4 linked regions of the Rhinolophus ferrumequinum genome follow. The protein of the gene in region 1 purifies or fractionates together with the protein of each later gene. This does not show direct contact. Links are inferred from orthologs where the notes say so. Each region holds a gene or a part of one and is shown on either strand. Other genes may lie near its edges.

The links.
Region 2: the proteins of ANAPC4 (region 1) and MAD2L1 purify together in Homo sapiens (affinity purification with western blotting; 14 studies listed by BioGRID and IntAct, with this or other methods). This does not show direct contact. The link is inferred for Rhinolophus ferrumequinum from reciprocal best matches to the Homo sapiens genes ANAPC4 and MAD2L1.
Region 3: the proteins of ANAPC4 (region 1) and ANAPC2 purify together in Homo sapiens (affinity purification with western blotting; 12 studies listed by BioGRID and IntAct, with this or other methods). This does not show direct contact. The link is inferred for Rhinolophus ferrumequinum from reciprocal best matches to the Homo sapiens genes ANAPC4 and ANAPC2.
Region 4: the proteins of ANAPC4 (region 1) and ANAPC7 purify together in Homo sapiens (affinity purification with western blotting; 14 studies listed by BioGRID and IntAct, with this or other methods). This does not show direct contact. The link is inferred for Rhinolophus ferrumequinum from reciprocal best matches to the Homo sapiens genes ANAPC4 and ANAPC7.

What each region holds. Positions count from the first base shown.
Region 1 is NC_046288.1:71,131,613-71,138,840, reverse strand, and holds the start of ANAPC4 (anaphase-promoting complex subunit 4), read left to right. Parts: upstream 1-4,222; 5' UTR 4,223-4,358; intron 4,359-4,484; 5' UTR 4,485-4,494; coding exon 4,495-4,623; intron 4,624-7,228. UniProt on the Homo sapiens protein: Component of the anaphase promoting complex/cyclosome (APC/C), a cell cycle-regulated E3 ubiquitin ligase that controls progression through mitosis and the G1 phase of the cell cycle.
Region 2 is NC_046301.1:3,654,794-3,662,563, reverse strand, and holds the start of MAD2L1 (mitotic spindle assembly checkpoint protein MAD2A), read left to right. Parts: upstream 1-4,759; 5' UTR 4,760-5,335; coding exon 5,336-5,408; intron 5,409-6,226; coding exon 6,227-6,373; intron 6,374-7,770. UniProt on the Homo sapiens protein: Component of the spindle-assembly checkpoint that prevents the onset of anaphase until all chromosomes are properly aligned at the metaphase plate.
Region 3 is NC_046295.1:83,295,171-83,302,450, reverse strand, and holds the start of ANAPC2 (anaphase-promoting complex subunit 2), read left to right. Parts: upstream 1-4,308; coding exon 4,309-4,596; intron 4,597-4,799; coding exon 4,800-5,422; intron 5,423-6,453; coding exon 6,454-6,586; intron 6,587-7,280. Other genes in the region: TPRN (taperin), read left to right, coding at 654-903, 998-1,104, 1,187-1,249; microtubule nucleation factor SSNA1, read right to left, coding at 3,165-3,272, 3,624-3,823, 4,259-4,310. UniProt on the Homo sapiens protein: Together with the RING-H2 protein ANAPC11, constitutes the catalytic component of the anaphase promoting complex/cyclosome (APC/C), a cell cycle-regulated E3 ubiquitin ligase that controls progression through mitosis and the G1 phase of the cell cycle.
Region 4 is NC_046308.1:6,116,802-6,124,270, forward strand, and holds the start of ANAPC7 (anaphase-promoting complex subunit 7), read right to left. Parts: upstream 3,014-7,469; 5' UTR 3,013-3,013; coding exon 2,795-3,012; intron 1-2,794. UniProt on the Homo sapiens protein: Component of the anaphase promoting complex/cyclosome (APC/C), a cell cycle-regulated E3 ubiquitin ligase that controls progression through mitosis and the G1 phase of the cell cycle.

The sequences.
Region 1 (7,228 bases):
ATCACCTTCTCTTCTTTCTGTTTGGAATATTTCCCTCCATACATCCATCTATTATAGTCTTATGGAGCCTTCAGGCCCTGGCCCAAGTCCATTGCCTTGGGACGTCTTGCTTAATTCCGTGATGCCAACCAGTACCAGGATTCAACCCCTTGGCGTTCCACACCACATTTGAGGCACTTTTCATGTATTATCCTTATATGATTATATTTAAGGCTTCTATCCCCCAAAAGATTGCAGTTTCTTAATGTCAGTAACCATTTTATTTACTTTTATGTCTTATGCATTGTAGGTACTCATTAACAATCTGATGAAAACATGGTATTGTATAGGTTTTCAGATGGTAGGTGTATTAGTTTGCTAGGGTTGCCATAACAAAATAGCACAGACTGTGTAGCTTAAACAACAATAATTTATTTTCTCACAGTTCTGGAGGCCGGAAGTCCAAGATCAAGGTGTTGGTTATTCTTAGGCCTCTCTCCTTGGCTTGTAGAAAGCCACCTTCCCACCGTGTCCTCACATGGTCTTTCTTCTATGCGTGTGCATCACTGGTGTCTCTTTGTGTCCAAATTTCCTCGTATAGGAAATTTCCTCGTATAGGAAACACCAGCCTGATTGGTTTAGGACCACCCTAATGGCCTCATTTTACCTTCCTCTCCTTTTTTAAACACCTTATCTCCAAATACAGTCCCATTCTGAGGTACTGAGGGCTTCAACATAGGGATTTTGGGGGACACAGTTCAGTCCGTAACAGTAGGCATGCTTAAGATATGGAGAGGACTATTTTTTTCTTTCTTAAAAGAACTGGAATAAGGAAAACAACCTAAACAGTATTAGGAGGAATTTAAGAGTCAATAGGAGGACAAGTCTAACACTGAGGGTTTAAATGTTGGGATGTGCTGTGTGAGCAAGACTAGCTGCCTTATCTGGAACCCTTCAAACTTATAATATTTCGGCTTTCAAGGTTATTTTAAGAAAATCACTTCAGTTGATGTCTGGCCCCTTCAAAGTAATCTGTAAAAATAATAGGCATCTGAGAGTAGTTTGACTTATTTTTAAACATAAAATCACAGTCTACAACAGGACCTGGTCTGAGGCCACCTCCTTCATAATGTCCTTTCGGTGTCTCTAGTGAAATAGTACGTCTTGTGCCAGTGAAATAAAAATGTGTGTGTGTTTTTGTCTTTTCATTTATACTTCTTATAAGGTACTTAAATCATGGGTTAGGTTGACTTTTTGTACTTGTCTCCCTTGTCAGATAAAAAGCTCATTGATGGGGCTTGTGGACATCATTGTATGTGTTCACTGGCTCTTGGAGCTGTGCCTTGTACATGGTGATATCAGAGACAACTGACGGTAGCACATGTCATCCCTTTATTCCTCCCCACCTGCGCAGCAGGTAGCCAGGCGAGCCCATTCCTTCAAGTAGTAGCTGCTCATAAATACATATTGAGTGAGTAGAAATGCCATTTAATATACCGCTTTATGCCTCAGAACCCCAACTGTGCTACATGAGTAAGAAGCTAATACGCTTAGGGCTGTGGAGGTAAGGAAAGCTTGCACAAAATGCAAAGGAAAATCCAATTTCACTTACTTGATGTGATTTTAATTGGGACATTAGGACGTGGGTTAAATTACTTGAGGGTCAGCTAAGAAGGTCATTGCAATCAATAAAGTGAAGATAAGATCTCTACTATTTGATTTCAGGTGACTTAGTATAAATGTTAACTCAGCAGGACACGGGGTGGGGAAGGGGGAAAGCACCAAAAGTGAGCAAGCAGGTCTCAGAGCTCTGAGAGGGGAGTTTTATCCCATTAGCTGGACCATCACAAGCTTTTCACACTGTTTAGTTGCTTCATACCCCTGCAGACTAGAAGTGTAACAACCAGTGATCTCTAAGAAGCTAAGCCTGAACATAGGGGCCAGTTTCTTCATCTGCAAATGTGGAGGCGAGGAGTGGGAGAAAACTAGAATAGCCCCCTAAACATTCTACATGCTTAAAGAGAACAAAGGAAACAAAGGTTCCTGCCTTTTAACTCTACAATTAATACATGGGCGAGGTAAATCAAAGAAAATGAAAAGCAATTCTAATCCTACCACCCAGAAATAATTACTGTGACGACTTCTGTGTATGTTCCTCCAAGGATAGATAGTTATACAGACAGACACACTAAAATTTCTCCCACAAAAATGGAATAGTTTTGTAATACTCTTCATAAACGTGCATATCAACTTATAGCTACAAAAATAGTATTCTTTAGTATGGATGTACCGTATTTTTAAAAAAATCAATCTATGGTTGGACATCTAAGTTGTTTGCATTTTTTCCCTGTTGTAAAAGACCCTATGATGGACATCCTTATAACCAAATCTCTCCTTATTTCCTTAGGAGAAATTCCTGTACATATGAATACTGGTTCTGTAGCTCTTAGTAGAACTCATTTCTCAAGGTGGGAATCACAAGTTGGTCTCTTAAGTTCTTTCCCAGAACAGCAACTGAAGTAGTTGTGAGAGACAGAACACCATGAATTGATACAATTTAGACTCCCTCTGCCAGGATGGAACATCTCCAAAATGTACTTCATACTTAAAACTACCCTTTGAGTAGTTATGATTGATTGTCTTATGGCACAGTTGATTGGTTCCTTCAGCAGCATCATTCTTGCCATGAGATTTGGGGGAGGAATGATTGACATCCTCTCAGCTCTTGGGGAAGTCTTTATTGGGCATAATTCCATCCCCCTTAGCTGTGATTGATGTCCGCTAGGTGACAGGGGTTACTCTAATCACAGTGGGGCTCGGGACTTTAATCTTGTGACTGGTGAAGAGGTGTTTTGTTCTCCCTGTGAATGAGGAAGCTTGTAACTCCAGAGCTGTTAGCAGACTTCCAGGGACCACATGGGGAACGAGCCTTATGATGACATACCCTGAGCTGGGTACTTGGAGATAGGAAGTTGCTGGATCTAGTCTTCCCTGAAGCTGGTCCTATTGCGGACTTGCAATTTACATGAGTTGATACATTCTAGTTATTACTTGTGCCACTTTGAATCGGTTTTTTTGTTGTTGCCTAATGAATGAAATTGTAGTAGGGCAGAGAGATTCCAACACCAACCTACATTAATTTTTCTTTCCAGCAAATTCAGTTTGCTTATTTCATATGTTTCACCTATTTTATGACTTCAAAATAGACTTCTCAGAATAACAGACTTTATATGGCCTAGATTAGCCACATCCCTCACCACTCCATCTTCCATCCCTGTACACAGGGAATCCCATATCTTTGCTCAGGCCCTGACCTTTCCCCTTTGAACCTGCCTTCCAGCTGCCCATTGGCCATCGCAGATTTTAAGTTCAAGAATCAAAGGATGATAGTGTCACATTCTCTTAACCCGGTCATAACTTCTGGGCACTTAGCAGTATGTTGACACATTCAAATGTGTCCTGTATAAGGAAGCATCAGATGGATTCTGGTTTACCTGTCGGTCAGGCTGACCTGTGAGCCTTTTAGGGCAGAGCCCGTGTCCCGTGCATTTGTGCAGTTCAGATTCTTTCACACAGCAGATGCTCAAACTTGGATAACTCCTAGGTGAGCCCACAGTCCTCAATTATTATGGTGGGGCTACTACTACCAATAAGTTTTGAGGCTTAAATGGGATAAAGAATGAAGACAATTGCCTATGTCAGAGGTTTTAGAGCAGTGCCCTCCCACCTTGGCTGCAAACCGGAACCAGCTTGAGAGTTTATTTAATCAAGACTGGGTCCCGTACCGAATTAATGGGTCTGGGATACTGTCTGGGCAGGGGGGTAGTTAAAAATCTCTCCAGCTGGTTCTACCGAGCAACCGGGACTGAGAACACCTATTAAGAGACTGTCAAAGGCGCCTCCAGCCGATCGGTGCCTAAAGTTTGAGTTCCTTTTCGTCTCCCCTTGGTCTCTGCGGCCTCGCTCCTAAACCTATGCCTGTCCGTTCACCCATAGCGAGGAATTTCCGGGAAAACAGACAGGACCTGCGGGCGTGCACACACGTGTACACAAGCCCCGTCCGCAGGCTGACGCGCTGCCTCAGCGCCGCGCCCCCCGCCCCCGGGCGCCCCGCCCTCCCAACCCCGCATCCGGGGCCGACCCGCGCTTGGTCCTCCAGCCCCGCGTTCCGCGTGGCAGCGGTCCACCCCCCGCGTCCTGGCCTCCGCATCCGGGTCCCGACCGCACGCCCTCGGCGCCGACTCCCACACCCGCGCCGCCTTCTTCCTCTCGCGAGGAAGTCCGGGCGACGGAAGTGCCCGGAGCGCGCGGCGGCGTTGGCGGCGGCGGCGGCGGCGGCGGGCAGCGGGAGGGAGAGGCCGCCCGAGGGCTGCTCGCAGGTACTTCCGCTGTCGGGGCTCTTCTCGGGAGGGCTCGGGGTGAGGGCGGCGCGGGCGCCAGGCCCCGTTGGGACGCGGGCGTGTGCGGGGAGCCTCTGCCGGCCTCCGACTCGGGTGTCGTTGCAGGGTCGCCCCCATGTTGCGTTTTCCGACCTGTTTCCCGTCCTTCCGGGTGGTGGGAGAGAAGCAGCTGCCACAGGAGATCATTTTCCTGGTCTGGTCACCCAAGCGGGATCTCATTGCTTTGGCCAACACCGCGGGCGAGGTGAGTGAAACGGCTGGGAGCCCCACGAACAGCGAGCCGGACCGACAGCGAGCGCGGACACACTGCCCCAGCCTCAGTTTCTCCTTCTGTGAACTTGGCAGGCCACCTGTCTACCCTACCCTTCCTTCCAGGTCGGCTATAAACGTCAAGTGAAAGTATATAAGGGAGCATATACAGGAAAGATCATTTCTGTGCCCATTTTCCGTATTTTGTGGCGAAAATACGTTTTCACACAGCTGAACACAATCACACACAGTATCGCCACGTCTCTTTTAGCCGATGATTTGTTAAATGGCCTTTTTATGAAAGCCAGTGATGTGTTGTTACGCGTGAGCTACACGGACTGGTAGATCCACAGACCCTGCTGGAAGTGTGCTTGGAGTTTAGTAACAGAAGCAAGATGAGTTATTGTCAAACTGGCTGCAAACGTCCATGCATGTAGCTGCAGCAGAGGGCCTGTTTAAGCATCTACATTATACCGTGCAAGTCTTACACCATGGGTGGGACAGCCACCACCCATTAAAAACACCTTTAAATTAAACAAGGTAGTGAGTGATACCTCCCTGGATTCCTGACAATGTGCATGAGTGTTGTCAGTTAGCATTTCTACTTCACATTATGTTATGCGTCAAGTACAACAGGTTGTGCCAAACTTTCTGCGGAGAGTTGTTACCTGGTAGCCATTTTGTAAGGAAACCTTCACCGGTGAGTGTTCCCTCCTTCGGCCTTTTGGCAGGTTTCCTGAATTACCTGGCCAGGTGAGAGTTGTGTTGTGATGGTAAGGAAAACTCAGCCTGGGAAACTTAGCAGCCTGCAGGGCCGCATTGCTGTGTTGGCTGCCATGACCTCAACGCCAGGGTACTACTTTCTCAGGGCCCTCCATGAAATCTCATCTTTCTCCCCTGCCAAGGTGCATTGGAGCTCTGACATGGCTCTAGAGAGGAATGCGGATAACCACAACCATATCAGTAGGAGGGAAGGGAGAGAATGGGGGCATCAGTGCGATTAGATGGGTAGATATAATCGTGGGCACTTGCTGATTCCACTGACTCAGTGAGAAGAAAGGGCGCTGTCTAGAGAAAAGAAAATATTGGAAGTTTGAGGAGAAAGGAGAGAGACGCAAAAGCCAACAAGGCAAGTTGACTATGGAAACCGAACAGGATTTCTGGTCATTATTAAGAGCCACGTGAGGTTAGTGGTCTTGGTAAGTTCAAGGGAAAGTAGTGACTGTGGTTGTACTCATATGTTTCTTCTGTTCTTTTGGCTGTGTGGATGCAGGCATGGTTGAGTTTAACCAGGGTTGTTGTTTTGCAAGTATGACAAAGCAAGAGAGATACTAAGAAGTTGAACTATATGTGAGAGGACTGGTTGTAATGATGAACCTGCATTCTATTCTAACCTGATTAAGTGGGGAAGTGAGAGCACGTGTTGGGTAAGGGACAGTGAATAGAAGGTAAAATCAATGGATTGTGTGTCTTGGTGAAATTGAAGAATTGAAGTTGGATATTAGTAGGAATGAGCTGGAAAGACAGAGGTGGTGATGGAAAGTGGGAGGTTTGAAACTGAGCTTAGGGCAGCATTTATACTTGTTGGTAATGACACAAGGGCAAGGGTGGGACCCTGGGAGTGACTGAAGTGAGGCAGAAGACGTGATCATTGGAGCAGAGGTAGTTGAGAACTGAAAAGCTCTTGAAATCACTAAGAATGATGATGAGTAGCGTTGAAAAGCATGAGTGAGCCAGGCAGGAGTCCATATCTTGCAGGAATGAGGGAACTGGTCTAGAGGTCTTTAGATGACTGCAATTAAGGGAGATAGTGTGTGGTACGGTCTGATTGCATAAGATTTGAAGTTAGAGGATTTTAGAGAAAAGAAGAAAAATCATCCAGAAATGACATCAAGCATCAGGGAGGAAACCTGCTTCATCTCCTAGCCCAGTAGTACAGGGGACATGGCGTGCAAAATGGCCACCCCCTGAGTATCCTCGGGTGAGAAGCACATTTCAGAGAAGAGAATGAAGGTATAGGGGATCTTGATGATACCTAACCATGAACTCCAGAGGATGCAGAGGAAGGATTTCAGAAGTAAGGAATGGCAGAGATGGGCTCAGAGAAGAGCACTGACTGACTCTAGGGAATGAGCGATTCCTTGGGAGTCCTGGCTTCCCAGGGGACAGTGAAGGACGCTATGAGATAAGGCAGGGAGTGGTTAAAGCTGTGAATGTGGGGTGCTAGGAAGGTGTGGCGGGGTCTTCAGGAGCACATGCAGTTCTACCTTTTCTTATTTTCAATGGTTGTAGAGAGGATGGAGTAGGGACAGTCTTATTTTTGAAGCACAGGGAACTTTGGGCACCATCTTGATCCTCCAAGGTGGAAATTGACTAGTGTGAAAATGGAAATTTACATAGAATGGCTAAGTGACTTGTCCAACATCCATGGCCAATAAGTGACACGGCTGAAATCAGATGCAAGTTGTCTGATTCCAAGTTGACTGTTATTTGATTGTATCATGGCTACCTTTCTAGTGCTATTTGTGTTCTCCCTTTTTTTGTCATCATCTTGGACATTCTTATTCTTTTCCAAAAGACAAGTTTCTTGTTGACATAAA
Region 2 (7,770 bases), on another chromosome or scaffold:
TCTGTTTTCATTAGTTTAACAGCAACTATGGCTTTTTAATTCTTCACAGTGGCTTTGTGTAGGGAGTTTCCATATCTGAAACTGTTCTGAGTTGTTGTGAATTTCACCTATATTTTAAAAATATAGCGTGCTGTCAAATCCAACTGATTACAGAACCCATTCCTTCATATCCACATTATACACGCACGTACTACATCAATAGTCTCTAGGAATTAAATATGAGTAAGATTATCACCTACCTTTCAAATTATACCTTTGGTACCTAACCATGGTTGAGTTATCAAAAGACTTCTAATTGGCTTTATATCACTATCATAATTGTAATAAAATTATCAAAATAAAATTATAATAAAACATGGTAATGCTTTCTGATAAGAAACAGCCCACATTTTTCATTATAAGAACTTAAAGAATTATGTTTTCAATAATATTTAGTACTTAATTTTTACTAAAGATAACATTTTAATATCCTATGGATGCAACTGGAGCATTGAAAATTATGAAGTATGCCAGTACAGAGATGTATTTGTTGACTTTATTAAGCCACTGCTTATTAATAAAAATCATGATTCAAATTTGTTGTGCTATCTTTATGAACATGTGGACCAACAATCAGGATCTTACGGGTAAAGTATGTGGAAAAAATGGATCTTTAGAAGATTTACATCATGCAATTTAATTCTTAAGCCCCCAAAATATAAACATTCATTAGATCTACAAAATAAACCTTAAGTGATCAGAGCTGAAAATTTCACATCAAATGAGAAATGATCTATAAAAAAAAACAACTTCAATATTTATGACAGCATCCTTTTTTTAAAAAAAAGCAAATTCCCCAAACTGACTTAATTAAATACCTGTATGCACAGGATTTTTCTTCAAAATTTAGTAGGCGAATGTCTTATTAAACGTATCACAAAGGAAAGCATCTGTCACTGTTTTATCAGTTAGAATAAATTGCTCTATTTCAAGATGTTGGCCTCAAGAATAAAATAACTCCTGACAATTTGAAGAAAACCTCTCCTAAGTCTGTAAGAGTAATGATTCAACTATCTAATTTTTTTATGGAAAACAAATTAATATGCAAATTAAATGTAAATATTAATATACATATGGGTACGTTTCTGGGTGTGCATTTGTGCACCCGCACACACACTAAATGTTTAAAAGAACGATACCAATTCTGTAATATATTATGGCTTAACAATTCAAATACCTCAGAAACCACTAAATTCATTTTTCCTTTATTTTACTTTCAACTGAAGCACATACACAAGGACTGAATCATGAAAAGGTATTATTTCACATGTAAACAGTGCCATCTTCTGGCAGCTGGAACTGTTTGCGGATTAAGATAAAATTTATTTGGATTGTAACTGCCATTTTCTTGGTAAATTGTGTCTACAGGTTACTGAGTAAAAACTCTTAGTCTAAAAGCTGTTGATTTTTTTAAATAATCTTTGAAAAATAAGAGCCTTGTTTAGAATTCCTTCTGATAGATATAATTTCAAAAGAGACAAGTCATAAACCTTACATTCTGCTACTAAATCTACTAACTAAATACTGAATCTTAAACTATATAGCCACTCTGGACCTGTTTCCTCATCTATAAGATTGTTCAACTAAGCCATTAATTAAGTTACTTTCCGTCTAAAATCCTCCTTGATTCTACCTGTAGAAATGTTTATGAGTATTTCTGGCTTTAGCATCCTAATACGGAATATAGTCCTGTTTACGACACGCGCTTTCATAATTATCTTTGATTAATATAGATTTGTTTGGTTATGCACTCTGCTTGAATTTTTCTCAAAAATATATCTTAATTTATACTTCTCCCTGTCCAAATAGACTTCCCCTAAACAAGACACATTAGAAAGAACTGACTGCATTGTAAATGAAGGTAAACTCGAGTAACTGAACACAAGTTTTGAAAAAATATTTTGTAAAGTGTGCATGCTTTAGATAAGATGGGGTCAACGTCAAAGCAAGCACCCAAAAGTTAATGGGAAAAAAATCCCTCCGAAGCTTCTAGAATCTTAAGTGTTATGACAATAAATAAGAGACAGAACAGGCTCAGAGTTTGGGCAGCTCTTCCTAACACCCCCATGGCTTTGGCCAACACTACTGCTGAATTGCAGGCCTGCCATCTTGGACTTATCTGTACTACCATTTCATTCTTCCTCCGTATCAGTCATCAACTCAATTCTTGTTTCCAAATGTCTTGCTATGATGCATACCTTCTTATTCAAACTCTCTAGCATCCATCTAGTCCGGGCTCTCAACCACCTAGGCCAGCACCACTTAAGTATCTATCAGTCTTCTGCTTTTCAAAGAGTGATTCAGAGACTTGCATCAGAATCATTCGGGATGCTAGTTAAAACATGTCTTCTCCGAGACCCCACAAAGTAGACCAGCACTGCCCAATAGAAATATAACATGAACCACATACGTAATTTTAAATGTTCTGCTGGTCAGGTTAAAAACTGAAAACAAGTGAAATTATTTTAATAATATATTTGATTTACTGCAATGCACAGAAAATATAATTCCAGTGTGTAATCAATTGAAACACATATCAATATAATACTTTATATTTTTTATAGTAGTAGGTCTTCGAAATCTGGTATTTTATACTTTTAGCGTACCTTGATTCAGACCAGCACATTTCAAGTGCTCGAGAGGCACCTGTAGCTACTGGCTGTGCTCCTGGACTGAATCAGACTTGGAGAACGGGGAATAGAAGCCAGGAACCTATATATTTACCAAAATATCCAAGGGATTCTTTCACATTCTCAAATTTGAGGACCACCACGCTAGACTGTCCTTTATGCGATTCATTCTACAACCTTTACTGAATTTACATTTGCAAAAGTGCCCTTTAATTATGTCAGTCCTAAGAACCTACAAATCCCTGGTACCTCCTGTTCCATCAAATCAGATGGGCGTTCAAAGCTCCCTAGAAGTGGCCTTACTTCATCTATTCAATCCGCTCTCCAACTGGAAAACGTTTTGGGCTCTTCCATGAAGTTTTCCTAGACAAATATTCAAATGCTCCTCATTCAACAAATATTTGTGGAGCACCCACTAAATGCCATCGTGGGTCCTGCACCAAGACAGGGAAGATACACCACAAGTCCTCAGAGAATTATAACAATGTAACAATTAAATCAATGCTCTGAAATAGCGCTGTGAGATGCTTTGAGGGGTTAAAAAAATTTATTTAATGCAGTGACATTTAAGTTAAAAAAGAATATAAATGTAATTAGCAATTTGAGCAGATAAAATGAAATTTCTAGGCAGAGGAGAGAGCATTATGAAAAGTCCCGAGGTGGAAAAGTTGCTAAAGGACCAGGCAGAAAGGAAAACAACCTGAAAGGGGGCTACTGAAGTAGACAGAAGCCAGGTAAAGCCAAGTTTGTGAGCCTTCAATTTTCTTTCACTTTTTATTTTTTTTAGGTATGCATATTTAAGCTAACCTAGATTACAAAATTTTCAAAAAGTACAGACCACCTTCCTAAACCTTATTTCTTATATCTCCTCATAGAACACAAAGTATTTAATAAATATTTCCTGTATGGAAAACTTATGTATTTTGGTAAGCTTTTAAATTCTAGAATCTCCAAATTGTACTAAGTATTTGCATCTTCACATAGACAATTTACAAAGTATAATCTTTCCCGCAGTGCTGAGTGTCAATATGAAGTTCCCAGAAAAAGACACAATCTTTATGTGGGGTAAGGTGGCCATCGTGCTCTACAAGTGTGATGCCAGAATTCTGACTCTAACCAAATTCCCTGATGGAAGGAGTGAAAAGATGGTGATTTAAACACACACATACCACGTACCGCCAAGACTAAACGATGTAAGAAGAATACTATTGCCTGTTTTACCTGTTTTACTCTTCAAACTGATCAAAATCTGATATATGCCAGACTGAACTGGAAGATGACGCCCTAAATCCGGGGCCTCTAGGGAGTACATCCTTGAGTGGTCAGAACCTGTGAATTTGAGGGGATATTGCTTCCAGGATTAGGTTCAAGGCCAGATTACCTGACTGGGTCTGACCTAATCCCATGAGCCTTTAAAAAGAGACGTCTCTGAAGTTAAGAGACTTCTGGTGACAAGACCTATGGAAGGATGACCTGGCAAAGGCACAAGAATGGACTCTGGCCAACATCTGGCAAGAACCACGAGGACATTCACTCTGCCAACACCCGAGGGGCTTGGGGAACCCCGCCTTAGATGAGACCTCACTTGCAGACACCTTTATTTCACCCTAGTGAGACTAGCAGACCACCCAGCTATGTCACGCTCAGGCTCCTGACCTACAGGACGCAGACACTAAATGAGTGTTGTTTTAAACCACTCATTTGTGGTAATTTGTTGTGTAGCACTAGAAAACGAATTAACTCAGACATTCCTTAAATAAATAACATAGTACGTCTGGTAAAGTTTTTCAGAGCCATTTTACAAATAAATGTTCCAGCCTCGTGAAGAATAAAATTATTTCACAATGGCTGTGAACATTAAGGGTGCACCACCTCCATTACACTTCTCAGCCTAACATGAAAAGTCACTGAACGTGGGAGTCCCGATTCCCTGGGAAGTTCTTCCGTGTCGATGGGCCCTTTGGGGGACGGGCCGTCACCTGCCGGTGGGCGGGGCGGGGCGCGGCGGGGCGGGGCGGGCGGAGCGCAGGCGGGGCTCCACGGGCGGCCCCGCCCCCGCCCCCGCCCCCGCCTCCCTGCGGGGTTGGGGTGGAGGGGAGCTGGCCGCGGACCGACGCAGACGCGGGACACTACGGCGGCTGGGTTCGCCCCGTTAGCCCCGGCCCCCTTCTCAGCGAAAGCCGCGCTCCCGCCGTGCGCAGGCCTCTGAGGCTGTGGCTGCGCGGCCGGCACGCGGCTGCTCTGCGAACCCCCGAAGAATTTGGCAAACGCTTCCACAGTCCACGGGGGGTCCCCAGGACCACTAGAGACGCGGCTGGCGGACAACTCGTGGCACTTTGAAAATATCCTTGAAACTCAGAAACTGTGCTCCTGGTCGCTAGGCAGCGGCCAGTAACACCGGGGTCTGCCCGCTCCCCTCGGTCCCATCCAGCCGACCACGGCCACAGGTGACCGACAGGTCCCCACCGGCGGCGGACAATCCGGGACAGCCGACCACGCCTCCCCACTGCGACTGCGTGATTCGCCAGCTCCCGCGAGGGCGGAAGGGCGGGCTGCGCCTGCGCGGAGGCGACGGCGCGCTGCGTCGTTACTTTTGAAACCCGTGGCGGGGAGCTGCTGCCGGCGCCGTCCGCGAGTGTGCGCGCGCCGCGTCTGTGGGCCTGGCCATGGCGCTGCAGCTGTCCCGGGAGCAGGGCATCACCCTGCGCGGGAGCGCCGAAATCGTGGCCGAGTTCTTCTGTGAGTCCCCCTCGTGCAGGCCGCAGGCCGGAGGCCGGGCCGGGCCGCCCGGACGCCCGGGAGACCCGCGGGCGGCCCTGCGGCGGGAAAGCGGGTGGGCCGGAGCGGCCCAGGGTGCAGGCCTCCTGCCCGCCGGGGGACATCCGGGAACGGGCGGGCGCGGGCGCCTCCTTCGGACGCGACCCTAATTACTGGTGGGGGGGAGGCCTAGTGTTCTCGAGACCCTGCCGGGGAAGTACCCCTTCTCCGAGCGCTTCTTTAAAGTCCCCCCCCCCCGCCATCGCCCGTCGACTTAGGACGTAGTGCGACTGGGCGGAGTCGAGCGTGTGTTGTACCCCTCCCACCCCGAGGTGACGGATTGGTGGGGACGGACCGGCCTTTGGCAAGCGCTGTCCTGGACCAGGCCACTTGTACCTAATGACAGAACCTGGCAGGACTTGCGAGGAGAGGAGGGAGGAAAACAGAGGGAGGGGCTTAGCCGCTTGGGGCGCAGGAGCCTACTCTGAGATCCTCTAAGCACATAATCAGAGTTTGCACTTGGATTACCACGAGGGGACATTTGGCAGTGGTAAACTGCATGTGTGGCATTTTTCTTTTATTGCCAATTAATTGCAGGCATCTCTTACTTAGAAACAAGATTTTGAGGCTGTTCCGTGGTACTTTGTACCACTCTGCTTTCAGCAAGACACACAAACACAAGTGTTTAGGCATTTATAGCTTATTGCTATTAATGAAACCGCAGCTGCATCTAAAGATGTTTTGTTTTCCAGTGTTACAAAATGATAATAACTTGTCGTTATCATTTCTTTTGCTTTCAGCATTTGGCATCAACAGCATTTTATATCAGCGTGGCATATATCCATCTGAAACCTTTACCCGCGTGCAGAAATATGGACTCACCTTGCTTGTAACTACTGATCCTGAGCTCATGAAATACCTAAATAATGTGGTGGAACAACTAAAAGGTATTTAATTGTTGGAAACAGTTTTGAGTTTTGTAGGCCTAGGATGTCCATTTTCCAAGTAGGATTTTGATGGTCATTTTTCAACTTTGTACATAGCAGGTGTAAAACACACGACCATCTCAAATATAGTGGCTCTCAATTGGGAGGAAGCAAATAATAAAAATTGAAAGAAATCCTACCCATCACATTTTGAGTGGGCTGAATATTTTGATGTTAGGATTCTGATGTGGCTTAACAAAACTGTCTCTATCGACTTCCTTGGAAATGCCTTTTGCAGTTTGGCCAATGGAACAAGTTGGAATTTTACATAATTATGATAGTGTTATTATTTGTGAACAAAACACTATATATTAATGTATTTTCTGTACCTGCTTGGAGTGTAACGCCACCATTATTAAGATCGAGGAAATTAAATTGTATTCAACCTCGGAACTAAACTTCAAAAAAAATAAAAAAGGAGAAAAAGAACTACTCTATAATAGAGCACCTGTAGGTAGAGTTTTCTTTTTCACCTATTTCCACTTTTGTTTTTGAAAAATCCTGCCTGTGAGTCAGTAAGCCATTTCTAAATACTCATTTTTTTTCTTTAGCTCAAGTAGTTGCTCTATGGTTGGATCAGTACTTGTTTTCCATCTATTTCTTTTTTTTTTTCTCTCTCCTAGAATCCCATCAATTTCTCTTTCATGTTTCTCTCCACTTGTGATTCTCACTTCTAATTTTTCTGGATTGTAGGATGTTTCTCCCTATCTTCCCAAAGTACTAGTTCCAAAAAGTGCTATGTGGTGGCTTTCTATTTTTATTTTTATAATGTTTTAATTCACAAATCATATTTATCTGTTTCAAGTAGCTTCGTTTTTAAGATGAAGTGGCAGGCATCATGTTTTTAATTAACTTCGGAGCTAAATCGCCCGTAGCCCTTTATAAGGCTGCACTCGCAGAATCTGGCCTGAAACCTCTGGGCAACTGTGGATCTGTGTCTTCATCCTGATTTGATGGAGAAGCGAGACTTGCTTAAGCTACTGGGATTGGGGGTTGTCTCCTTGGAGACCACACTGGTGATATTTCATCTCAGGTATCTAGACATTCCTATTTAACATCTCCCTTTTCTTTTAGTTAAAACGGAGGAATTATTCTTCCTAGAGGTAAATTGTCCAGTCTGCTTCGACTCCACTCCCTCTAGCCTTCTTATGGACTCCACCCTATTTCTTCTCTCTTGTATTTTTGTATTCTTGTATTCTTTGTTTTGATTTGGATTATTTCCAGTTTTAGAAGGAAAAAAGCCCTCTCAATCCCCCCCTTTTCAGAGCGAAACTGATAAAAACGTGGATCCGGCCCGCCTGGCTCAGCAAGGCCAAGAGGCCGCACCCAGCCTACGGCTTGGTCTGAGCTGTCTGCAC
Region 3 (7,280 bases), on another chromosome or scaffold:
CCCCCTCGGTGAGCCTTAGGCTAATTGTTTGTCGTGTGGGGTGACAGCACCTGGTGCCACTTTCCTGGTGTCGGCCTGCGACCACCACCCGGCTTCGGCTCCTCCTGTGGGCCCTTGCCCAGCAGTGGTGGTCCGTGCTGAGCTGGGTGGACAGGACTGTCCAGGTGCCCAGCAAGCTGGGACATGAACTTGGCTCTGGAGAGAGGCCCAGCCGACAGCAGGAGCTGCTGGGAGCAGAGGATGTGGCCCCCACTGCAGTCTTACATGGACTCTGCTCCTGCGTGGAGCCACCCAGTGGAGGGAGGTGTGGCTGGTCTCTGCTCCCTGAGAAGGCAGGCAGCCCTCTGACCTGCGAGCTGCCTGAGGCTTATGGAGACCCCGAAGATGCTGGCTGGGGCCCGGTCCCTGGGAATGGTGGGTCACGGGTGATGTGACCCTGGGCCCAGGGTGCTGTGGGCAGCCAGAGCCAGCTGTCCTCGGGTCGTCGTGGCCTGGGCCTGCAGGGTCCAGGTGGACGGTTTCTCTGATGAGAGGCACCCCATTGCTCAGAGCCTCTGAAGGTCCTCCCCCCCACCCCGTGCCACACTTGGTCCAGCTGGAGGACCCTGGTGGCAGGGCAGTGGGGGCCTGGCTGATGTGCCTTCTGTCTGCAGATGAAGATCTCCTTCAATGACAAGAGCCTGCACACCACGTTCGAGTACCCTTCTGAGAGCTCCCTGGTGCAGGAGGCCGAGGCCCAGGCCCAGGCCGAGGGGGAGGGGGAGGAGGGCGAGGAGGAGGAAGAAGAGGAGGGGCCCAGCCTGAATGCCACAGTGGAGAAGCCCTTCGTGCTCTTCCTGCCCCGAGCCACGTTCGTTAACAGCGTGGTGCCCGAGAGCCCTCGGCTGCCAGACGGCAGCTCAGGTGAGTGTCCCCCGTCTGGTGGGCAGCCCAATGGGTAGTCTGGGCCACTTGTGCATACACCCACATGTCCACATGTGTACCCCTGGGCCTGCAGGCCTGTCCAGCTACACCCCCAAACACTCCGTGGCCTTCAGCAAGTGGCAGGAGCAGACGCTGGAGCAGGCCCCCAGCGAGGTGGAGCCCACGCAGAAGGATGTCATGGTGAGTGGGGTGCTGGGCGCAGGGAGGAGGGGGTCTCTTAATGCCTGGTCAAAGCCCCATTGGCTGCCTTCCTGCCTCCCAGCTCACCCCTGCCAGTCACAGCGACCTCTCAGACTTCCGAAGCGAACCAGCCCTCTATTTCTGACTCCAGCCCTGCCAGGATGGCCAAGCTCTGCCCTCGTTCTGTACCCACCTTCTGCCCTGCCAGGCTGTGCCCCCATAACCCACCCTCCCTTCCCGAGGCTGCTCCTCCCCTGGGTCCATCTGGGTCTCCCTCTCCAGCCCTGGTTTGGGGGCACTGCCTGTGGACGAGGGCCAGGTGCTGCTGGACGCCGTGCCTGGCAGCTTTGGGTGGAGGACCGGCTTGGCTGCCTGTCCTGCAGGACTACAAGCCCCCCAGCCCACCCCCTCACCCCCCACGGCTGAGCTCAGCCTGCCCCCTTTGTGACGAATGGAAATCTTTTGCCTCCGATGGTGGACTCAATAAACAGCACTGGACGAGCCTGCCTCCTTCATGGTCCTCAGCCGGGAGGGGGGTGCAGAGGCAGGGGCTCCAGTGAGGGGCTGGCAGTGGAGAGGAGCCCACGTGGGATTGGTGTGGGCCCAGCTTGGATGTCTGTGCCCGGGGTACAGGAGGTGGGCCCTCCCCCACACCTCGCAGTATTGCTGGTCCAGGTTGTCACTCCCCACAGTCCCAGCTACCCTCCCAGCCACCTCTTTGCCAAGGACAGGGACCCCCATGAGTGCTCCCAGCCGCTGGTGCAGCCCCCTCCCACCCAGGGCTGACACGGGGGGAGCTGTGGTAGGAGGTGGGACTGGGCCAGCTCTAGGGTCTGGAACCCTGCCCAGGGACGGTCAGTGCTGCCGCTGTTTTCTGAAGGGCCAAGAGCCTAGGCGGGGACCACAGGCAGAGGCGGGGGGCATGGGGGCAGAGCCTCAGGGACCTTGTGTCCTCTTTGGCCTGGACAACTCCCTGAACCACGAGAGCCCATGAGTTCCTTTGGGGTCGGTGCTGGTGGCTGGCAGGGAAGCCCAGCGGGCCCTGGGAGTGGTGGGCAGATGGCCGGGCTCTACCTGTCCAGTTGCTGGCCTGGAGCCGGGGCTGTTTACAGCCCAGATGTGGAACGTGACCTTGTCCCTTGTGGGGAGCCCAGGCTGGGGAGGGAGGATCTTTGGTGTTTTCCTGGGGGGGCAAGCAGCCACAGGGACCCCACGGGCTGACAGACCAGCAGAGGAGGACCCAGAGGACCCAGGCCCCCTGCAGAGCTGCAGATGGGCGTGCCTGGTGTGTGGCGAGGGGGTGGAGGCGGTGCTGCTGCCAGGCGGAGAGCCAGGAACCACGGAGCTGGGCACAGCTTTTGCTGAGGGACCTGAGCCCAGGAAGGCCACACCTTGTCCTAGACACCAGGGGGTGGCAGAGCCCCTCAGCAAAGGACGGGCTTCATGTGCCAGAGTCAGGGCCAGGGACCAGGAGAGAGGTGGGCAGTGAGGGTCAGCAGATACCCACACAACCCCGCCTCCCCCCCAGGAGCCACAGCGCAGCTAGGGGGAAGCTTGTATTCTGGGTGTAACGGGCAGCCGCCCTCTCCCAACAGGACACAGGCAGCAAACTGGCATGTACCTTTACAAAGACAACTTTTACTGACAGTCACAGGCCACCAGAGTGAGCCCTGAGGTGAAGGAGGGCCCCAGCCCCTCCGCCACTTGCCTGGCCTGGGCACCTGCCGGCAGAGGGAAAACATAAGGGGATTCCCATGATGCTGAGGCCAGAAGCAGGGCCTTCCCACAACCTGGGGAGATGTGGGGGCTTGAGAGCGGCCCCACGCGGAGCTGACCCAGAGCCCACCCTCCCTGTTGCCCGTGTGAGTGCATGGCTAGTACCCCCACCTGGTGGGCTGCGCCCAAGGGCAGTGGAGGTTGGCAGCTGCCTCTCTCGGCACGCAAGACGGTGAGAGAAAGCAGTTGCTGTCGTGAAGGACAAAGATGCTTTGAAGACAGACTTGCTGGGGGCCAAGCCATCGGTGGGCGCAGTGGAGGCAAGCCTCCCCTCCTGGGCCTCGTCAGCTGTCCTTTCCTCCACTGCTCTTCTGCTCTGAGGCTGTGGCCTTGCTCAAGTTCCCAGCTTCCTTCTTCAGAACACTAAGTAGAGTCTGTGAGCTCTCCAAGATCTGGGAACAGACACGAAATGGTTGTCACTGTCCCTCCTGTCAGAAGCACCCATAGCCCAGCGAAGAGGAAGCCCGAGGGGACAGGCGGATAGGGTCGGCAGGGCCTTTTTTCCCTCTGAGTCTAGCCCAAAGCCCCTTCCTCACTCCCTGGAAAGTCAGGTTAACTCTGGCCCCTGCTGCTGCCGCTCGGCTGCTCAGTCTGGAAGAAACCACAGGGTGGGTACTGAGTATGGTGCAAAGAACAACCGGGGACACACCAAGTCACTCCATGACGGGCCTGGCCGTGCCACAGTCCTGTCACTTCTGTTTGTGGGCATGGCAGACAGGTCCGCAAGCTGTCCCGAGCCTCACCTTGAGATAGGCTGCCTCGGTCTCTGCGATGGTCTGATCAAATTCATTTCGAGAGGCGATCTTGCGTGCCAGGTTCTCATTGACGCGGGCCAGTTTCTCAGTCAGCTGCCTCACCTCATTCTGCAGCCGCTGCTTCTCATCTTCTTCCTGCTGGATCTGCCGGCACAACTCCTCCCGCTTCTGGCACAGCTCCTCGATGCCTAGGGTGGGCGGACGGGGGCAGGGCTGTGGGCACAGGGCAGGCAGGAGAGCACCATCCCATCTACTCTGAATCCCAGTGCTTTGTAGGACAGAAAGGTGGTAGAGAGACCAGGTGCCGGCCGGGGCTCCCAGGGGTCTCAGGTTAAAGGCGGCACCACTGGAGGCCACCGGGCGCTGGGCCTGGAGGCAGTGCGAGCTCAAGCGATTCCTCAGTCCACAGATACCTAGCACCTGGTGCGTGGCACACCAGGAGCTAGGTATTGTGCGCTGGGCAGCTCCGAACCGCCTGCGCGCCGTCCGGGCCGGGCCACCCTCGCAGCCACAGGACAACTAACTTGGCCGTGTGCTGCGGGCCACCTACTGCCGGGGCCTGCAAGCCGGCGACCCCACGCCCTCCCCGCCTGCCCGGCAGGCCCCGCCGCGCGGCCGCTCACACTTGACCAGCTCGTTGTTGTAGTTCTGCATCGCCGCGCCCTGCTGGGTCATGGTCGCCGGCCACTCCAACCGCCGCTCCTGCAACGCCGCCCGCGCCTGCGCACTGCCTCTCAACAGCGCGCGCATCGAGTACGTCATCTCCGCGCGCCTGCCGTTCGCCTCACCGCTGCGCGCGCGCGAGCCTAGCTGTGCGTCATCAGCGCGCGCGGCGCCGAGCGGCTCTGGATGCTGGTGGGTGCTGATGGCGGCGGCGGAGCGCCCCGGGCCGACACAGCAGCTGCTGGCGGCCTGGAATACCGTGAGCACCGGGCTGGTGCCGCCGGCCGCGCTGGGACTGGTGAGGCCCGGGGGAGGGCGGCGGGCCTGCGCGGCGTTCCCCGGACCGGCGCGCTGCATGAGGGCGTGCACCCCGACCCAGCATCCGAGCGCCGCCGAGGAGGGGCAGCGGAGTTTCCGCAGCGGCCCCTGCGCCCTGTCCCTTCCCCACCTCTGCCACCTCTACGCTGTGTCCCCTGTTCCTCACGGTTTTCTGCATTCCAGGCATCCTCCCGGACCAGCGGTGCGGTCCCTCCCAAGGAAGAGGAGCTGCGGGCGGCGGTGGAGGTTCTGAAGGGCCACGGCCTGCACTCGGTCCTGGAGGAGTGGTTCGTGGAGGTGCTGCAGAACGATTTGCAGGCCAACATCTCCCTCGAGTTCTGGAATGCCGTCTCCCAGCGGGAGAACTGTGCCGACGAGCCCCAGTGCCTTCTGCTGCTCCTCGACGCTTTCGGCCTGCTGGAGAGCCGCCTGGACCCCTACCTGCGTAGCCTGGAGCTCCTGGAGAAATGGACTCGCCTGGGCTTGCTGATGGGCGCCGGCGCCCAGGGGCTGCGGGAGAAGGTCCACACCACGTTGCGGGGCGTGCTGTTCTTCTCCACCCCCAGAAGCTTTCAGGAGATGGTCCAGCGCCTCTATGGGCGCTTCTTGAGAGTCTACTTGCAGAGTAAGAGGAAAGGGGAAGGGGGCACAGACCCGGAACTGGAGGGGGACTTGGACAGCAGGTATGCCCGCCGCCGGTACTACCGGCTTCTGCAGAGCCCAGTGTGTGCGGGGTGCGGCAGTGACAAGCAGCAGTGCTGGTGCCGCCAGGCCCTGGAGCAGTTCCATCAGCTCAGCCAGGTCCTGTGAGTACTCGCGCCCGGGCCAGGCCCGTTCTTCTGATTCCCGCTTGCACCCCTGGGCCCTGCTGGCCTCTGCAGAGAGCTGGTGAGCTAGTTGGGGTCTCTGCCACCTGTCCTGGTCGCCATGGACATGACAGGGAGGGTCCACAAGAGCCTTGCGCTGTAACACCTTTTGTCCTGAACACAGGCGTGTCTGTCTGTGACTCAAGTTAGCCCAAGGTTTCACACTTTTTCACTAAGATCCTGTGTGATTCCAAGGTTCTTGGGCCGTGCAGAATTCAACTGTGCCTTTTATAGGCTGTGGGGGAGCAGTGGTGCTCACCCTGTCCTGTAATTGCAGAAGGTGGGCTTGTTATTTCTTCTTTTTGGGAACAAGTTGGAGATAAGGCTGGCATGCTGGGCAAGCAGACACCTCCCTTTGAAGAGGAAAGGATTCTGTTGTTAGAGCCATGCCTTGTTGTACTGGCTCTCCACCTTCTGTGGCCACTACGACAGTTTTATCACGTTGAGAAAAGTGCCAACAGTGCAGCTGTTAGGGAGAGGGTCTTGTTCCTGGACCTAGGAAGTGGTCCTGTTGCTGGTAGGGATCAGGGAGGCCCCAAATGATGTCTGCTGGGTTCGCCCCAGATGAGAGTCACACACAAGCATTCTTTCACGTTTCCTATCTTGAGTCCCTTTGCCATTGTAAGCCAGGGTTGGCCCTGAGCGGCACCAACCATGGCATGTGTACACATGTGGCCAGGTGGCAATGTGTGTAGTTGTTGTTTCCGAGCCATTTCTGGGAGATGAGACTGGCCCCTGAATCGTACATGCTGCTCACATGGGCAAGGTCAGCGTCCCAGCCCATGCAGAAAGGCCAGCTGGGGAGGATGGTCAGGGCCTTGCCAGTGCTGTTTCCTCCCAGTAGCTCTTCCTCAAAGCCCTGTGTACCATGTGCCTCCACCAGGAGGGCCATGGGAGGTGTGTGCTGGGTGTGGGGGTGGTGTGTGCAGCCCATGCGCTGTGCACGTTCCATGGGCAGGGCTCTCCTCCAGACACAGGCTCAGTCTGCTGGAGCGGGTCAGTGCTGAGGCCGTGACCACCACCCTGCACCAGGTGACCCGGGAGCGGATGGAGGACCGCTGCCGGGGCGAGTACGAGCGCTCCTTCCTGCGTGAGTTCCACAAGGTGAGTTCCACATGGCCCCCTCTTGGTTTGTGTCCCGTTAGGACTGGGGAATAGGTTTCTGGCAAACCTGACACCCTGGCTTTAGAAGTAGCCCGAACGTGGAGGCCAGGTGAGCCAGGACCTCACGGGTGGTTGAAGCTGTCTTACTGCTGGGTGGAGGCTGGTCCCTGTGGGCCTTTTTATCCCCCCCCCCCCCCCACCCCCCCCCCCCAGCGACAACCAGGAAGAGCTTGCGACGTGCGCAGCAAGGCCTGTATAGAATCACGTGGCTGGAGGCAGTGAGGGGCCTCAGGGCACCCATGCTATTGGGGCGTGGTCTGGGTTCTGCTCTGAACTCCTCAGAGTCACGGAGGACCTGGCCCAAACCATGGGGTGCCGACCAGCTTGGAGTCTGCCTCCTTAGGGTACAGGTTAGCTGCCATGGGGGCGTAGAGCTGTCCCACAGCAGTGGTCTGGAGTGGGCGTGGGCCTGGAAGCGTGATGGGGTAGCCCCAAGGCTGCAGAGTGTCGGGTGGTCTTCTCGGTGGTTGGACAGTCTGCTGGGGGGACGTGTGCATCCCCGAGAGCACGTGGCAGTATGTCTTGTAGACGTACATGATGTGCTCAGAAATGTTCTCGCTGGATGCTGCATTGTCTGCATGTAGGGGCTGGTCGTGTATGCAGTCCCCAGGGTGTGTCTGTCCTCAGGGGGGCT
Region 4 (7,469 bases), on another chromosome or scaffold:
ATAAAATGATTAGCCTTATTTGACAAAAGTTTTTTAAATTTTATATACAAAAGTAAACTTTACCGGCACTAGGAGAATTTTTATCTCTTTGAGTCTCAGGGGCTTCAGGATAGTATAATGGAACCAGTGTTTCAAAAGTTTGTCTTTAACCTTAAATGTTGCTCACAAGTGTTAATAACTGCCTAGAAGCTGGCTACCATTTTTAATAGGAAACTCACATTTCTAATCTCCAATCCCAACCCTCCACCTACTTCTTCCCAAGTTGAGTTTACATGTTTTTCTTTGATAGGTAAAAGCTACAGCTGCTTAATATGAAAGAACAGACAGTTAATTTCTCAACAAATGAAGGATACTCAAGAATGGTAGCGTAGATTAGAGGTTGCCAGGAACAGGGGAAGTGGGATCAGGAAGTGACTACAAATATATAAGGTGTTACTTTCTTCGAGTAATGAAAACATTTTGTAATAGACAATGGTGATAGGTGCACAACTCTTGTGAATACATTTAAAACCACAGAAATGTATTCTTTAAAAGGGTGAATTCCACAGTATGTGAATTTTATCTTAATAAAAAAAAAATCTTAAAAAAAGATAGGAACTCTAAACACTGCATAAAGTTACAAAGGAAATTCAAGGACTGAAAAGTTGAAAGGTATAGTCCAGATAGTTAAGATCTCTTCCAATTCTGAGATTCTTTGTATTTAATGAAAAATAAGATTTGATAGAAAAAGTTACTATACTCAGAGAAAGCACTCAGATATTTATATTGTAACACACGTCTATGTGTACAGCAAAAATTATCTCTGGAATGATGTAAGAAACTGTTAATAGCTCTTTGCTGGAGAAGGGAATTTCTGGAGAAGGGAAATGTCACAGTGAGGTTCAAGATTCAGGGACAGGTACGTATCTGCATACCCCTTCTGCTCTGTTTGAATTTTTTTACTGTGTTGTATTGCCAATTCAGTAAGAAAATTTTAAATATAAAGGTCAGAATTTAAATGCCTCCTGAAGCTAGGAAACTGCCAGTTAACCTAATATGAACAAATCAGAAGATCAAACTATCCTGTGACATCTAACTATCCTGTAACATCTAACTATCCTGTAACATCTTCAAGAACCAAGAATAACTGGTGCATACATTCCCAATGGTGGAAACTGTGTGCCTTGACAAATCACTCAGAACCAAGCGAAAGTCTCCAGAATAAACACAGAAGGCTGACAGAGACCAGGGCTCCTCCCTGTCAACACTAAGTGGATGGTGGCAAAATGATGAGTCGCACGTAGTGAGGTCCAAAAGCACACTAATGGAAATAAAATCGGGAGCAGCAGCGGCATCACAGGCACTTAAGGGGCCTTTCTTTTCTGACCTAGACAGCTTCAAGAGGATGCCAAATGCAAATGGGTAGAAGATTCGATTATAATGCTATTTAGAGGCAAGAGACTGTCGTAGGTCAGAATGGAGACCTTAGAGTCAAAGGGACCAAAATCCAGACATCGTGGCTCCTCCAATGACTAAATGTGTGGACTTGGACAGGGTATTTCCCCTCCCTGAGGTTGTATGCACTTCCTTAGCACATTCAATAAGCGTGAGGGCTTACTGCACACAGCCAGTGTGCTGACTTCATTCGGTGTTAAGAGTGGTGCAGAATATAGATCTTAAAAGCTCTCATCACAAGACAAAAACTTGTAACTATGTGTAGTGAGGGATGTTAACTAGACTTACTGTGGTGGTCATTTGGCAATATATACAAATATGGAACCATTCTGTTGTACACCTGAAACGAACGTAATGTTACATGTCAATGATATTTCGATTAAAAAAAAGTGATGCAGCATATAAAACAAGGCAAAGGGATAGACTAGTGAGGGTAAGGAGCCATTCTTACGGGCTATCGGAGTTGGAACCTGTAGGAGGAGGCAGGTCTGTGATAAGGACTCTAAGCAGAACAGCAAATGCAAAAGCCCTGAGTTGAGAATGAGCTTGGCACGTGTTCAAGTATCCGCAAGAAGAGCCACGGAGGCTGGAGAACAGTGAGCAGCGGACATGAGATTAAGTGGGGGAGAAAGATGTGTGGCTCCCTTGGCCATGGGAAAGAACCTGAAGCACAATGGAGAAATTGAAGCAGGGGAGCGACATGCACTCAAGGCTGGCAAGGGCCCTGTATTTCTTCCGTCATTAGACTCAATAAACGGCAGCTCTTAAAACATGAAAGGCGCACTGCAAGTCCTTCAAAAGGCGCCACTCCCACCCAATCAAGGGAATCTCCCGTTTTCTGGGGTTTGCTGAGGCGAGAAAAGGAACTACACTCAAGGCGGATAAAAATCAGTCTCGGATGTAGGACGAAGGTATAAAACCAGGGGACTGGCCTCTGAGCTTCGTCGAGGGAGAAAACGTTCCTCAGGAAGGAGCTGGGAAGGGAGAAGTCAGCCCAGTGATGTGACAGTCGCCGTGCTGGGTGACAGGTACCTCAGGAAACCCTACGCTCCCAACTTTCGGGAAACCCTCGCCAGGGAGGTCCTCAGAGCCTCCGCCTTCCATTTCTCCGAGCCGTCGCCGCACGACACATCTCCCGCAGCGAGTTCATCCCAGCGCCTGGCACAACGCGGGGACCCCATGAACTCAACTTGCGTTCCTAACTCAGCTCGGCTCGACGAGGCCTCGCTGACCCCGGAGCCTCAGCTGGGCTGGGGCCCGCGGCCGCTCCTTCCCGCCAGTCCCCAGGCCCCCTCAGCCCTCGCTCCCGAACAGGCGCTGCTTTCTCCTCAGCCCCAGGCCGCTCCCCGCCTCAACTCACGGGTTGTTATTACTCATTGTAAGTAACAAGCTGCTGAGGAGCCGCACGTTGGAGTGCAGCCCCGCGGCCGCCATGTCTCGTACGTGGTCTATCACATTCATCCTGCCGGGCAAAGCCGCAGGGAGCGGCAGTAGCGGCACGAAAAGCCGGTAAAATATCTTTAAGGAAGACTTCAAAATGGCGGCCTCGCCGGGGTCCATCGGGTCCATATGAGGCATCGCCCCCAGAAAAATAGGCAACTACTGAAGTGCCTGAGTAAATAAATAAAACTCAGTTCCCCAAGCCCTCGTGAGGTGAACTAATTTGTTGGGTTTTTTTTTTTTCTAGCAAAGCTATGTCGTTCTGAGTTGCAAATTTTATTGAGGACTTAAAAATACGATGGAGACAAAAGGCACCTCAGTATGAATACATGCTCAAAGGAAATGAGTATGAGAGGAATTTGTCTCTCCCAGGAATTAATAAAAATGTATGAACATTAATCATAAATAAAAGAACACAGTAGGTTGTATGTAGGGGGAAAGCCCCAATAGTTGTATTTGAATATTTTAATCAGGCGCCAGGGGCAGTCCTAACTGCTTTTACAGTCACGCTTGCGCACTAGGCTGAAGGCGCCACGCCCCCTCTTGTCAGGTATTGTACCTGCTGGAGTCAGGATTCGTTCAGCCTTTGGATAGCAGTCTTGGGTCTAAAAGGGAATATTTCTACCCTGTGAAATGATTTACTAGCTCAGAATGAATACTGGCTAGGTTGAGTTTTAGCCATCCTAACATGTGTTTTTTAATTTGTAATTCCCCAGTGACATGGTGTCGAGTATCTTCTCATGCTTATTTGCCTTCTGTATATCTTCTTTGGTGAGGAATCTGTTCAGATCTTTTTCTGATTTTTCAGTCAGGTTGTTTGTATTCTTATTGTTGAGTTTTATGGGTTCTTTGTATGTTTAATAATAGTCCTTTATCAGATATGTGTTTTGCAAATATTTTCTCCCAGCCTGTAGGTTGCCTTCTCATTCTCTGGGCCACCCCCTCATTTAGAAAAAAAAAAAAATGCTTTCAGTAATGATCATGAAATGAAATGACTAATAATGGCCAGAAAAGAAACAGACCGTGAAAATATTTATTAAACTTCATCTAAATAATAATGCTAGTACAATTTTTAATGCAAAGTAAAACCACTATTACAGTACAAAAAGGTAATGGATTAATACTTTTTAAATACATTAATGTATTGAGAAAGACTTATCCTACCTATTGGATTAGCAAGAAAATGAATAAAATACAGTTTCTGTTTTTGGTCCTTAAATTCTGCAAAATTGTCAGTGACTGTCAAAAGTCATTGTCTTTGTATATTCATGTTCAATTAGCACTATAAACAGATTTGTCAATTGTTGAAACACAGTCTTGGTGTTCCATGAAAAGACAGAAGACACTTAAATGCACGTTACTAAGTGAACGAAGCCAGTCTGAAAAGGCTACATACTGCATGATTCCAACTGTATGACATTCTGGAAAAGATGAAACTGGAGACAGTAAAAAGATCAGTGGTTGCCAGAGGTTAGAGGGGAGGGAGGAATCAGTGGAGCACAGGGGATTTTTATGAAAGTGAAACTATATACTATAATGGTGGATACATGTCATTATGTTTGTCAAAACTCATAGAATATACAACATGGAAACCTAACATAAACTATGGACTTTGGCTGGTAATGATATTTCAGTGTAAGTTCATCAGCTGTAACAAATGTACCACACTGGTGGTGGATGTTGACAGTGAGGGAGGCTGTGCATTTGTGACACAGCAGGGGCAATTGGGTATTTGGGAACTCTCTACTTTCCACTCAGTTTTGCTCTGAATCTAGAACTGCTAAAAAAAAAAGTGAAGAAAAAAGAGGGGTGTGTGTGTAAAAACTGACCTGTTCTGTGTGTCAAACATGCCAGATACACCACTGTATCTAACACACTTAGAACAATGTCTGGCACACAGTGAACACTATAAATGCTTGTTATACGTTTCTCTCCATTTGAAATATTTTATAGTTAAAATCACATTTAATAATAGCCAAAAATTGGAAACAATTCAAATGTTGACCAACTGATAACTATATAAACCAAATGTGGTATATCTGTACAGTGTAACCTATTCGGCACAAAAATAAAAAGAACTGCTGATAACATGGATGAATTTCAAAAATATTGTGCTGTGCTAAAAATAAAATCATGCTAGGTCAAAGAAACCAGACAGAAAAAGAATCATATAATCTCTGACTCCATTTATATTAAATATCCAGAAAAGACAGACCGACAGCAACAGAAAGATTTGTGGTTGCTTGGTGGTGAAGGTAGGAATTGGGAAGTGATTGCGGTTCCCAAAAGATCCCTCCTTTTGGGATTTGATGGAAATTTTCTAAAACTGGATTGTGATGATTGCTGCACAACTCTCTAAATTTACTAAGAAATAATTGAATAATACACTTAAAATGGGTGATTTTTATTTTATGTAAATTATACCTCAATGAAACAATTAAAAATAAACACACCTATAAACCACATGACAGTCACCAATTTACCCTCTCTACACGGCAGTGTAAAATATAGTTAGGTTCATATCTGGATTGACATCCTACTGCAAAGTCACATATCCTCCAGTCCTGGAATAAACCAACATTCATAGACTCGAGACATTTTTAGTTGAAATTGCCATACTTTCTAAAAAGTGATTGCTCTCTCCTCTAATCCCTCGATTCTCTGAATGGGAATTACAGTTTGGACAATTCATTTGATAACTAATGACCTCATGCCTTGTACATCTATCCACCGTATTTAAATCTGTGATTGTTAAATTTTCTCATCTCTGTGTAAACCCATCTCACAAGAGTAGGTGGGATGCTTCTTTGCATTCCTGAAGTGGGGAAGACTGGGGGAGAAGCATCTTGGAGTATAATGCTCCAAGATTTGGATACTTATCTGAATCTAAGGAAGATGCTGGGAAGACTAGCTGGGTATTTGAGTCTGGAATTCAGAGACGTCTAGAAGGAAGGTATGAATTTGGGAGTTTTCAGCATTCAGATGCCATTAAAAAAAACTTTATAAGAACAATTTCAAATATATTAAAAAATAGAGGTATTGGTATATTGAGTCCCCATAAACCATCACCCAACTTCAACAATTATCTATTCATGACCAATCCTGTTTCACAGAGCACCCCCCACCTTCCTCCTTACCCTTCAAATTATTTTGAAGCAAATTCCAACCATTATATAATTTTATTCATGAATATTTCAGTATTCTCTAAAAGAGAGACTCCTTGTTAAACAAAATGACAGTACCATGATCACATCTAACAACAATAATTCTTTATATCATCAAATATCTAGTCATGTCTAGTAATTGTTTGTGTATATTTTACTGTTGGTTTCTTTGAATCTGGATCCAAACAAGGTCCATTCTTGCAATTGGCTGATTATGTCTCTTAAAAATGTAGGTTCTTCCTCCCTTTCCTTTTTACCCTTGTAATTTAATTCTTGAAGAGTGAGATGGTGTTTAAACCCATGAGACTGGATAAGATCACCAAGAGGGTGAGTGTAGTTAAGAGAGTTTGAAGACTGGGGCAGTTGATAAACAGGTAAATGTGTAACAGCTGGTGAGGGGGAAGCCATGATTTGTAGTGTTTGCCAATTTTCATGGTGTAAATACTCTTACCATGGACAACTGCAAGCTGCCAACTGTAACAAAACAACTGTCAGACAAAATACCTTGGGATGTAATAATTGGCTCTCTAGGTGAGGACACAGTTAGCCCTAAGGCATCTCACTATTAAGAGGTCAGAGAGGAGAAACCAGCAAAAGAGGCTGAGAAGGAACAGCCAGTGAGGTGGGAAGAAAAGTAAGACAGTGGGGTTCTGGAAGACAAATGAAGAATATGGTTCCAAGAAGGTAGGAATAATCAATTACATATATATATATATATATATATATATATACACACACACACACATGTGTATATATGTGTGTATATATGTGTGTATATATACATATATACACACATATGTGTGTGTGTATCTATATATATATATGGCAACAGGTCAAACAAAATGAGAAATGGCCATTGGATTAGCACCATGACAGTCATTGGTGACCTTGACAAGAGCATTTTTGGTGGGGCAGTGAAGAGAGGATGGGGGAGACTAGTGTGCAACAGTACAGATAGATCATTCTTTTGAGGAGTTTTGCTGCAGAGCAGTGGTTCTCAATTGGGGGTGATTTTGCCCCCAGGAGACATTTGGCAATGTCTGGAGACTGGGGGTGGGGCTTGCTTTGCTACTGGCATCTAGGAGTAGAAACAAGGGATGTTGATAAACATCCTGTAATGCACAGGGCAGACCTGCACAATAAAGTGAAGTAGAAATTTAAAATTGTAAATTTAAATATCAAGTCCAAAACATCAAGATGTCAAGGTTGAAAAGCCCTGTTTTGCAGGGAAGGAGGAAATGGGTGGTATCAGGTGGACAGAAGTTTTTTTTCCTTTTTTTATAAGATGGAAAAAATAACATGTTTATATGCTGATGGGATTGAAGGAGAACACATCACTGTCTACATGGCAGGGGAAAAGTTGATGATCTCTATAAAGAAATAGTGCTAAAACAGACTTGTGAGATTGATAAATCCACACAAAGAATGCAC